Linked DNA regions of Cricetulus griseus. The protein of the gene in region 1 interacts with the protein of each later gene in a pairwise test. Links are inferred from orthologs where the notes say so. Each region holds a gene or a part of one and is shown in the gene's direction. Other genes may lie near its edges.

Region 1 (3,500 bases):
CAGCCCTCTGTCACAGGTGGGAGGCCACCTCCCAGTGCAGGCACAACTTCAGTGTTCTGGACCTTTCTGTCTTCACCCTGCCCTCCTCACCTCTTATCCTCTTGAGGCTTAGAAGCCAGGCTGAATATCAGATCTGCATTGTGTTAGAAGAGACACTGGGGCATGGGGGGGGGTGTCTGTGGTCCTCCTAGGGCAGCAGTTGAGTCTGACAGGAGGAGTGAGTGATAATTCTGGCTCTTATATGCCCTCAGTGTGGCCATGTCCTGCATCCTCGGGTGTCCTGCATCCCCGGGGTGCTGCAGGTTAGTCACTGAGCTGGATGACTGTGTGCCAACCTTAGCTCTGCTTCCTGAAATGCTGTGTGCCTTTGATGGAGTCTTCTGACTCTCCTAGAATGGTCGGAAGCATGACAACTCCTACATGACCAGACAGCAGGCGGGGAGGAGCCCCAGGCTGTGATGCAGCCTTCTCCTTCAGGAAGTGTCTCCTTGCTCAGGGTAGATGAAGGGCAGATGGGACCATGGATGAGTCATATAGTCTCCTTAACACTCTCCTTCACCCCAACTCCTTAAGCACTAATCCTCTAGACACTTGCTGGATACTTACTATACATCAGCCTTGCATGGTCCCCTGGGCGGGATAACCACAAAAAAGGTCCTGCCTGGATCCCCAAAGTGGCAGTCACTTGCTTTCTCCCCTTTCAGAAATTCCTGGTAAGCTTTGGTCCCCTGGAGATTAAGAAACCAAGAGGATGGGAGGACGCGAGTGGGGATGAAGGGGCTGCTGTAGCCAGGGAGCCTCCATTTCTGCTTTCCCTCTTAGGGCGCCACCGTGTCCCTCTCGGAGACAGTGCAGAAATGGCGAGAATATAGACGCCAGTGCCAGCGGTTCCTCACTGAAACACCGCCTCTGGCCACAGGTGAGTCCCATGAGCCCTCAGGCCTGTACTTCACAGAGCTCTGGGGAGGCTTTGAGATCGGGGCCATAGTTGGTACCCCTTGTCTCTCTGGAATGCTGCCTGCCTGGGCCTCTGTCCTGGTGACCACACTGTGTCTTTAATGCGGTGCCTTCCTGACCCCTTCCCACCAGTTTTCCAACAGGCAGCTTTGTGGGTACTATTTTCTTAGTGTCTTTACCTCTAGAGCAGGCACCCCACTTTCCATTCTGTGTTCTTCTCAGCTCTCCTTAACTGTGTTTAGATTGAAGGCCCAATGGAAGCATTTATACAAACCAATCTTTATGTTTTGAGACAAGATCTCATGTAGCTCAGGCTGCCTTCCAACTCACTATGTAGCCATGGATGATTTTGGACTTCTGATCCCCCTGCCTCTACCTCCCAAGCACTGGCATTCCATGCCTGTATACCACCACACCTGGCTTATGCAGGGTTGAGGACCAGACCCAGGGCCTTAGGCATGCTAGGCAAGCATTCTCCCAACTGAACCAGCAGGAGTAAACCTTTTAGGGAGTTTATAGGATGGTTTAAAGGTCACAGCATTGGAGTCAGCTGGGCTTGGGTTCAAATCCTGTCTTTGATCATCACAGTGATCTGGGGAAGGGTTTCTCAGCCTCATGAGCCAGCATTTCCCTCCTGTCTGTGAAGAACAGCTCAAAAATGGCTTATAGGTGATATCTGTTGAGCCCTTTTTATATTCCTTCTTCACAACATGTAACACAACATGTAACAAAGCTCCGTGGAACAGGGCATGCCTGCATTCCACACAGGAGGACAAAGAGCTGTTAAAGAACTCGCTTAAATTTCTGACCCTGATGAGTAATAGGGTCCTTCCTTGGTCCCTGCCCTGTGGGGAGTGTGCTCAATGTCCAGTGATCCCTGTGTGAGAATGCTCAGTGTCCAGTGATCCCTGTGTGAGAGTAGTGCCCAGTGATCCCTGTGGGGGAGTGCTCAGTGTGTAGTGATCCCTGTGGGGATAATGCTCACCTCCAGTGATCCATGTGGGGAGAATGCTCATTTCCAGTGATCCCTGTGGGGAGAATGCTCATTTCCAGTGATCCCCATGAGAGAGCGCTCAGTGTTCAGTGATCCCTGTGGGAGAGTCCTCAGTGTCCAGTGATCCCTGTGAGAGAGTGCTCAGTGTGTAGTGATCCCTGTGGGGAGAGTGCTCAGAGTGTAGTGATCCCTGTGGGGAGAGTGCTCAGTGTGTAGTGATCCCTGTGGGGAGAGTGCTCAGTGTCCAGTGATCACTCTGCAGAGGTTGGGGAGCAGAGTGCAGCTTCCACTGGTTGGGGAGGACATGGGAAGGAAGAATAAATGACAGCCTGGGACTCAGACTGCTCTACTGCCTCTACAGGTCTCTTTTGCAACCGAACCTTTGACGACTATGCCTGCTGGCCAGATGGACCCCCAGGTTCCTTTGTAAATGTCAGCTGTCCCTGGTACCTGCCCTGGGCCAGCAGTGGTGAGTGTCTCCTTCTCTGTTCCCAGGGCTCTGGGGCAAGATAGGACATGGCCTCCTTTCCTCTGAGACCCAGTTCCTGCAGCCCAGAATATCCTCAAGCCCCCTGGAGGGTGGACCACCCTTTAATGGTGGTTGGATAGTCAGCAGTGGCAAGTTCAGAACTACCTGGGGTGTCTTAAGTCTGATGCTTTTGCAGGCAGGGGTGGGGTAAAAATTAAGACAGAAATGAGACCCTTCTGACCTCGCAGAGGGAGGACAGGAAGGAGATACCCAGGGAATGTCATTGCCTGGTGTGATTGTGTGTGTGTGTGTGTGTGTGTGTGTGTGTGTGTGTGTGTGTGTGTGTGGAGAGAGAGAGAGAGAGAGAGAGAGAGAGAGAGAGAGAGAGAGAGAGAGAACTCAGCTAGCTCTTCCTGACTCTTTTAAGGTTCACAGGTAGCAGTGCTCAAGACCACAGTGAGGCTGGCCCCTCAGACCTTGTTCAGCCCACCATTGCCTGCAGGGGAGACTACACTGGGAAAAGTATGGCCTGGTGGGAGATTCACTAGCCATCCCGAGGGCCAGGGTGCCCATGCCTGTGGCTCTATCCCAGTTCCCATGCACAGACTCTGTGGGAGATAGTGAGGACAAACATTCTAGTGGCAAGGAGTCCCAGTGTCCAAAAGGGGGGGAAAGACTGACTGACTGACTGACTCTGTGTGTGTGTGTGTGTGTGTGTGTGTGTGTGTGTGTGTGTGTGTGTGTATGCACAGGTGTGGGTCCACAAGTACAGTCCTCCATGTAGAGACTGGAGGTCAACTGAGGGTTGACCGCCTTGTTTGTGAACCCTGGGGATCTGCCAGTCAGTGTTCCCAGCACTGAAATCACAGGCACATGCTATCATGCCCTACTTCTTACATGGATGCTATGGTGAATTCTGTGGGACTTAACTGAGGTTCTCATGTTGCATGACGAGCACTTTACTGAACCATTTGCCCAGCCCAGCAAAGATACCTCATAAGGTAATGAAGGCCAACATTCATTGAATATCTGTGTCCAGTCCTATCGTAACTGCTGCCTGGGGGATGTGCTTGCCTGATG
Region 2 (4,076 bases), on another chromosome or scaffold:
GAAGGAGGAGAGGCAGTAGGAGGGAGGGGGAGAGAGGAAGGTAGGCAAGGGGAAGGAAGTTGGCCTTCGACCTTTGTCCCAGAGGGGGAAGATGGGGATAGGGGTGTGGAAAGGGAAGGTTGGCCACTGAATGGACCTTGTGGCAGTGTGGGAGGGGGAGAAGACAGGGTTCGAGGGAGGGGTTGAGATGCCAGAGACTCAGATGGCACCATCAGGGTGGAGTGGTCACGGTCCAAGTCCCCAGATAAATTGGATAAATTTTGTAGTAGACACTCTGGAACTGAATAACGGCTTCGTTTAGACCAACAGCTGCCCATTTCCAAGCCTGTGCCAGAGACTAGAGCAATGCATCCACCGAAGACGGTCTTTTCTCCTAAACGGATTGGTGTTGCCCGGCGCAAAGATCCCGTCTGCCAGAGAGGAAGATAAAAAGAAGAGTGGCCTCCCACGTGGCTGGTGAACCTGGTCTGTCCAGCACCGAAGGCTCAGTTCCTTCCGGGGCTTCTGGCACCAATTTGACAGGTTTCTCCTCCAACACAGTAAGCCAGATCGAGCTGAATTAAAAAGTAAAGGACCAAGTTTATTTGGACAAAGCATTCCCAGGTGATCCTCCAGTCCCCAGAGATGAGGTGGGAGAAGGGGGCAGGAGAAAAATCACATGGCCAGTCTAAAGGAAGGGACTTAAATGTCCTGTAGGCACAGGGGTGGTGACGAGTCCTCCACAAGCTGTGTTTGTGCCTAAGTATGGCAGCTTTTAGGCGGGGTCTTAAGTAACTAGCAACTGCTAGGGTAGGAGCCACCACCGCCACCGCAGACCTGGACTTTTTTGGCGGGTTTTTCTGAAAGGGCAGGGTCTGGAGAGGGAGGATTGCCACTGCTGGATCAAGCACGGGTGAGCTGCAGATTGCAGCTGAACACACACAGAGAGAAGCTAGAGGACAGGGGGAGAACGCCGAGACTCTCAGAGGACTAAGGCTTAGACCTGCCCCCGGTACCTGAGAAGATGGAAGCAGGGGAGAGTTACACGCGGGTGACCTGGATTAGGACACCACCTTGGTGCCGGAACCTTGAAGCACAGAGCTGGAGTTTCCCCGTGGAACTCTTTCAGCAATGGGAAACCACGGTACCTACAGCCTTCTCGGCAACAAACAGCCGCCACGCGTTTGTACCACTTCCGGGGCGGGAACGGAAGTTCCCCTCTTGCCCAATAGAGAGGAGGCGGGGAGGACATTCTCGCGAGAGCTCGGCAAGCCGGCCCTCAGGGAGCTAGCTAGCCATGGAGGGTGAGCGGGCGCCGCTTCTTAGTTCGCGGCGGGCGGCGGCGGCGGCGGCGGCGGCGGCGGCACCCGGGGTGTTTGCGGGGCGGCGCGCGGCGTGTGGGGCGGTGCTGTTGGCCGAGCTGCTGGAGCGCGCCGCCTTTTACGGCGTCACGGCCAACTTGGTGCTGTTCCTGAATGGCGCGCCGTTCAACTGGGAGGGCGCGCAGGCCAGCCAGGCGCTGTTGCTCTTCATGGGCCTCACCTACCTGGGCTCTCCCTTCGGGGGATGGCTCGCCGACGCGCTGCTCGGCCGGGCGCGCGCCATCCTGCTCAGCCTGGCGCTCTACTTGCTGGGCATGCTCGCCTTCCCGCTGCTGGCCGCGCCCCGCTCGCGCGCCGCGCTCTGCGGGGACCCGAGCCCCGAGCTCGTCCGCAATTGCTCGGCGCCCTTCCCCAACGGAACGGCGGTGTGTCCCTATGCCGCCGCGCGCCGCTGCGCTCCCGCCACCTTCGTGGGGCTCGTGCTCGTGGGACTCGGTGTGGCCACGGTCAAGGCTAACATCACGCCCTTCGGCGCGGACCAGGTGAGCCGGGCCGTCCCTGTCCTCCCGGTTTAGCGCCACGCCTACCTGAGCCTATACCTGACTTTGCACCAAGTGCCCTACGCTGAGGACACGGGGACCGACCGCCCCGGTACTCTGCGTACCTGCGAGTGCCCCAGTGTTCTCCACCGATGGAAAGAACGAGCCACCCCACGTACCTAAACCTACACCCCCACTTGATTGCGCGACTGATGGGAAAGTAGGGAGCTGTCCACTAAGCGCCCCAAACCCTTCACCCTCACCTCGCATCTAGAGAAAGATAAAGGCTGTGTGGAGGGAAGACTTCTTGGCTTCTCTGCACTTCTCTTGTAGTGCAGAGAAGGTCACCTGCCTTTGATACCTACTTAATGGAGGAAGGAGACTTGTCCTGAAGGGACTTCCTTGCAGAGTGGGGAGGAAATCCATCTGCCCCAGTGGGCAGGGGGAGAGGAGAGCAAGGCTCCTTCTAATCCAGGTGGGGAGGAAACCCATGAATACCCATTCCACACCTCGAAAGAGGCTCTTGACTGGTAAAGAGGGAGCCTGTATCCACATCTGCCCTTGCATTTGGTCAGGGACTGAAGGAGGGGAGGGAACCACACCCATCCTTTGCTCTGGGGGAACTTGGCCTTTAGTGTGGGTGGAAGCCCTTGAGTAGACAGGAGAAAGCTGTAAAAACAGGTGTGATCTGGGTGGTAGGAAGGGCTTCACCTAACGAGGTGATTATGTGTGATGTGATGGCCAGGGCAGTTTTAAAGTGAAGGGACTTTTCAAATGGTGAGGTCATTTGAGTTGAGATCTGAAGGAAAAAAGGTTTAAGTTAGAGATTTGGAGGACAGACACGTACAGAGGGCTGTCACTGTACTAGTTTTCCATTTACAAACTTATGGGCAAGCACTTAGTTTTGGTCTTTATTGTTTTAAATAAGTTTTGGAGTGGCCTGGGTAGGAAAGTTCAATGTCATGCTGCTGCTCTGACCACCAAGACGAAGACAGAGGAGGAGCCAGAGCTTTGGAGAGCAGAAGTGATCTGCTAGCGCCTGACTGCCTCATCTGCTCAGCTTCCCCTTTTAGGGCTCTCACAGGCTAAGAATGGATCTAGTGGTCAAATGCAAATAAAGTATTTTGTAAGCAGTGGAAATTATGTGGGGCTTGAGTGGCAGGCTCTGTGGATAAAGCTTTTTAAGGTCCTGCTCTTTCCTGCTTACTCATCCCCTCTGCTTCTCCTAGACTTGTAGAATTGAGTAGTCACAGAGGCCAGATAGATGTCTCCTAAAACCTAACACACGTTGTTCCTTTGCAGAAAGATTGCAGGTGGCTGCCTTAGAGAGTGGGTTGTGTGGCAGGTGCATGATAGCATAGCTCTGGCTGCAGCTGGTCTAATGAGAGAGGTGTGGTCTAGAGTGGAGACAGTCTCCTAGTAAAGGGATGGACTCAGACATGGGAGGAGGGCGGTAGGGCTAGGTAGGGTAGGGAGTGCCAGATAGAGGGTTGTTTGTGAGCTGCAGGAAAGGTGAGCTCTGGGTGTCAGCACTAAACTGATCCTTCAGGGCCTGAAATTTAAGTCACCAAGGTGAAATCATTTGCTCAGAGAGTAGCACCATGAATATAGAACTGGGCCATGTTCAGAAGTCTTGTTTACATGGTTCTAAGGTTGACCAATTCAGTGAGGACACATCTCACCTATATTAGAAGTAGTAGTAATCTTAGTGCTTAAGATTTTGAGGCAGGAAGGATTGCCACAAGTTTAAAGCTAGCTCAGACAGTATGGTTCTAGGCTATTATGGGCTGCGGAGCACGACTCATAAAAGTAAAATATAAACAAAAGTAGTTGCTACTTTAGAATTATGAAAGGTGCTTCTCACACAGGGGCAGTTTCAAGCCCAGACTCATGGCCTTGGCCTCTGTCCCACTAGTGCACCTTGAAGACACAGGGTCAAAAGCACATTAGCTCTGTCCTTTAAGTCTAGGTGTGGTGAAATGGCCCTCATAAGTCTTATACATTTTGATACTTGGTCATCAGTTGGTGACTGGGGAGGATTTGGTGTGACTCTGCTGGAGGAAGTATGTTACTGGGGTGTGGGTTTTGTTTGAGATTGGAGCTGCTGCTCTAGCCAGCATGTCTGCTGCCATAATGAACTCTTATCTGGAACTTTAAGCCCAAAATAAACCCTTCCTTGTATAAATTGCCTTCAACGTGGTGTTTATCACAGAAACAGGAAAGTAAGCAGCAAACT
Region 3 (3,935 bases), on another chromosome or scaffold:
CAGAAGAGTAGCCCCACCCAGGAAGCTACTGGCCAGCCATCAGGTGTTCATGTAAATCATACACAATTCAAATTTTAGTTCTTTAGACTACTGGGCATGGTGGCCCACACCTATAATCACAGCACCTGGGAAAGCAGAGGCAGGCAGAGTTCTGTGAGTTCCCAGACAGCCAGGACTACTTAGCAAAAACCTGTCTTAAAATGAATATACATATTCCTTTGTAAACAAACTTCCACTCCCCTGTAGCCAGAGGGGTGCCAGGGGTGAGCCCTGTTGGGAACATATCCTTAACTACTCAAAGTTTTAAGAACAGGGAGTGAACTGGAAAAACTTGGAAACTGGCCCCAGTGAGTCCCTCCTCATAAAACAGCCAGGCTGTCCTCCAGTTTGGGGAGGGGGTACCAAAAATTTATCTCAGTACAACTTTTTGGTACTGGAATATCATCTATGGTGACAGCAGACATTCCTCAAGTGGGAAGGGAGCCCCCCCCAATCTTTCCTCACTTTCTAAGTTTCAGGGAGCCATCCAAAGGATGCCAAGCCAGGATAGCATGAATATAGTATTTGAAGGTGCCCCTGAGGGTGCTTCAGCCACAAGATTGGCTAGGGACACTGGGTACACTAGTGAACTTCCTAAAGGCAGTTTCCAGAATTACAGCCAGGGATTCTATCTGTGGGACATGGGATTAGCCAGGCGACATAGAATTCCATTCTAGACCTTCAGATGCATCCAAGTTGCTGCCTAAGAGATATAGACACAAAGCATGCTAACTTTTAAGATCTTTTCCTGTCGCGACACCTCCACTGGGGAGGTGTCCAAGGCGCCCGAGTAAGGGAGGAAGTACCACGGGGTTCTTTGGGAAGGGGTATCCTGTGGCCAGTCCTCGGCAGAGACCCAGCAGCCTGCCCCGGGGAGTTGTGAGCCCTCAGAAAGCTTGGGGACATCCTGCGCACACACAGCTCAAGCAGACCGTGAGAACCATTTGTACTGAGTTCCCCAACGGTTACCCTGGGACTGAGGTGGCAGCACCCAAGCACCCCTTGTCCAGGCACACCCGCAGGCGGGAGGCGGGGCCTGGGGCGGAGCGTCCTCGGGGCGGGGCCTCGGAGGGGCGGGACCTAGCGGTCTATAAAGAGTGCGGAGCTCGGCGCGCACCCGGTCCAAGCGAGCGCGCCCCTGCTTCTGAGCGGTAGCGACTCTCGCGCTTCCTGTTAGGCCTCCAGCCCTTCTCTACCCCGCATCTCGCTCTCGACACCCCAGTTCCCCGGCCCGCCAGCGCCCCTGGCCACCTGCCAATCCCGGACCCAGTCCTGCGTACCCAGCCCGCTCGCTCCAGGACAAGCCCAAGCTCCGCAGGCCGCGCGCCGCCATGGGGGTGGAGGGCTGCACCAAATGCATCAAATACCTGCTCTTCGTTTTCAATTTCATCTTCTGGGTGAGCAGCCACTGGGAACTGGGGACGGGACGAACCCTCCGCGGCCAGTACGCTAGGCCCAACTGAGGGCGCAGCGCGGCGGTGAAGTTGCGGCGCCACCTGTGGGCTCCGTGCGCCGGCCGGGGGGCCTGGCGTCCCTCGCCAACGGGGTTATGGCCAAGAGCTGAGCTTCCGGGCCTCTGCTCGAGGGTCTTCTGGGGTCGGGGAATCAGGGAATCGCTGGCCTGTCGCCTATGAGTGCTGGGGACCGGTGCAAGGGTCTGCGGGCTAGAGCCACGTAACCTGGAACCTTCAGCTGTGGAGGGGGTATAAGCACCCTCGTGAACGCTGTTTTGGGGACCATCCTGCTTCGCGAACACTGAGGGGGCTTGAGAAGGGCGGGATCTTGGCGCCCCGCCCCCATGAGCTCATCGTAGCCACCGCCCCTAGATGGGCGGCCTCGAAGTGGTGGGGGCACACTGGGTACTTGCCTTGGAGACGTCCACCCCACTATTACTCCACCCTTGCTTACCCTCCAGCTTGGTATTTGCCACCCTGGGAGGCTCGAGCTCCGGGCCTAGAGAAGGACAGGGTGGCCCGCGTGCTTCTGCGCAGCATGCCCCAGTTCCTGCCCACCCCCCAGCTGCCCCTCCTCCTAGTCTGTCGTCTCCCGCACAGATTACAGCCCTGGCCTGGCCCTAAGGTTCTGTGGAGGCTTTTGGGAGGAAGTGGGTGTGCAGTTCATAGTTGGTGCAGGCCAAGGTAGTGCAAAGATCTGGATGGGGTGTGTACAAACCGGGGGTGGGGGGGGGGGGGAGCTTGAGATCTTTTCAGCTAGATAGGGTCTGAGCTGGGCTCTCCACTTTGAAAAGAGGTGCACACCAATTTGGTCATCTTGGAATGGAAACTTGGGTATAGAGAGGGTCTCCAGGGGTCCCTTGGTCCTGACTGTCTTCACCGCTGGGGAGTGACCATTGGTGGTGTGTTCTTGTTTCCATTTCCTGACTAGTTTGAGAATGAGGAGTGGTAGAATCTAACGGACCTGCCTGCAGGGACTTGAGTGGGCAGTGCTGGCCACTCCTCTAGACAGTGTTGCCACCCTCCCCCCTGCAGTGCACAGACTGCTGTTCCCTCCATCCTCCTCTTTCCCATGAAGAAATGAGGTTATGAGGAACAGTCTGTCTCTAAAGTTGAAGCAGGGAGGGCAAACTTGTAAGATAGACCCTAGAGTGAGTGTAGGGGACACCTGTTTTCTATCTTGGACTGCTGAAGATCCATGGGTGGGTCAGGGTGGGGTAGGGGGGCAGAAGATGTTGGAGATGAGCGGAGACTGACTGAACTCAGCTGGGACTTTGCTGTGTGGTCTGCTGAGGAGACCCTGGTTGTCAGTCACAATGACCCCAGGGAACAGCACAGGTGATGGGGTTAAGCTTGCTCTGTCCGGGCATGTCCTGCGGTCTTGGCTGGGTAGCTTGTTTGTCTTCTCTGAGCCATGCAAGGAGTTAAATGCACACTCTGCTGGCCCTTGAGCCCCAGATGTGGGCTGTTAGGAACCTACAGGGATTTCTTTTTTGGCCCACCTACCTGATCAAGCTGGTAGCCCTTTAGGCTCCCTGGAGAGCTGGGGCTGGGTGAGGCTGATTGTTTCCCAGGCAGCTGGGGTAGAGTCCCAACACATCCCTGGGGATATTCTCTATTGAGGCTCCAGGAAACAGTTCTGAAGCCTCTCCCTGCTCCCAGGGGCATGCTTACTGACAGTGAAAACCATATCCTTCCATGGACTTCTCCCCACCCATGTTGGTCCCCACAGTGGGCAGGGATATGGAGCAGAGCCAGGCCACAACTGGTGAACACCACACTGGCGGAGGGGCTTCCTCTGTACCCTGTATGGCAAGGCTTGTCCTATGGCTGATAGTTTCCTGATGCCATGAAGTTGAGCATTTGGGAAGCCCCACCCCATTGCTCTGGTCCTCAGCCTCTACTTCCTCCCTCTAAAGTGGGAGTTCTTGGGGTCTCTGTCTCCTGGGATTGAGGGCAGACTAGCTAATGCAATCCAGAGCAGAGCAAGGGGCTTGGCATAGAGAAGGCTCAGGAAATGGATGCTGGGCACAGTGTCCAACAGGGAGTTGGGCCAAGGAGAGCTGAGTAATGGTGTAAGAAGTGCCTGGGGAGGGGGCTGAGAGGTCCTGTGGGCCCATGATGGGTATGGAAGCTAAGAGCTCTGGAAATGAGATTTGGTTGACAGTAAATGTCTTGATGGGCACTTTTTAAAATTTCCAGTTTAGAGATTAAAGTGGTTTTTCTGTGGGAGGGGACATCCCAGGCACCCTAGCCTATATACTCATGCTCTCATGCCCAGAAGTCCTTGGACTGAGACTTACACTTGACCTGTCTTGTTCAGAGCCTACTTTGGGATCAACAGAGTTTTGGACTCCCAAGATACATGGGACAAGACACAAACATGAAAGATGAGCAGTGAGCAGATTCAGCCAAGACCTTGTAAGATGCTCTTAGAAGCAG

What was found.
Region 2: the proteins of Glp1r (region 1) and Slc15a4 interact in a protein complementation assay, tested with the Homo sapiens proteins (2 studies listed by BioGRID). The link is inferred for Cricetulus griseus from reciprocal best matches to the Homo sapiens genes GLP1R and SLC15A4.
Region 3: the proteins of Glp1r (region 1) and Cd81 interact in a protein complementation assay, tested with the Homo sapiens proteins (2 studies listed by BioGRID). The link is inferred for Cricetulus griseus from reciprocal best matches to the Homo sapiens genes GLP1R and CD81.

Annotation. Positions count from the first base shown.
Region 1 is NW_023276806.1:259,293,847-259,297,346, forward strand, and holds part of Glp1r (glucagon-like peptide 1 receptor), read left to right. Parts: intron 1-822; coding exon 823-919; intron 920-2,312; coding exon 2,313-2,420; intron 2,421-3,500.
Region 2 is NC_048597.1:107,118,004-107,122,079, reverse strand, and holds the start of Slc15a4 (solute carrier family 15 member 4), read left to right. Parts: upstream 1-1,276; coding exon 1,277-1,843; intron 1,844-4,076. Other genes in the region: uncharacterized protein LOC107979701, read right to left, coding at 1-317. UniProt on the Homo sapiens protein: Proton-coupled amino-acid transporter that mediates the transmembrane transport of L-histidine and some di- and tripeptides from inside the lysosome to the cytosol, and plays a key role in innate immune response.
Region 3 is NC_048596.1:58,334,413-58,338,347, reverse strand, and holds the start of Cd81 (CD81 antigen), read left to right. Parts: upstream 1-1,135; 5' UTR 1,136-1,370; coding exon 1,371-1,436; intron 1,437-3,935. UniProt on the Homo sapiens protein: Structural component of specialized membrane microdomains known as tetraspanin-enriched microdomains (TERMs), which act as platforms for receptor clustering and signaling.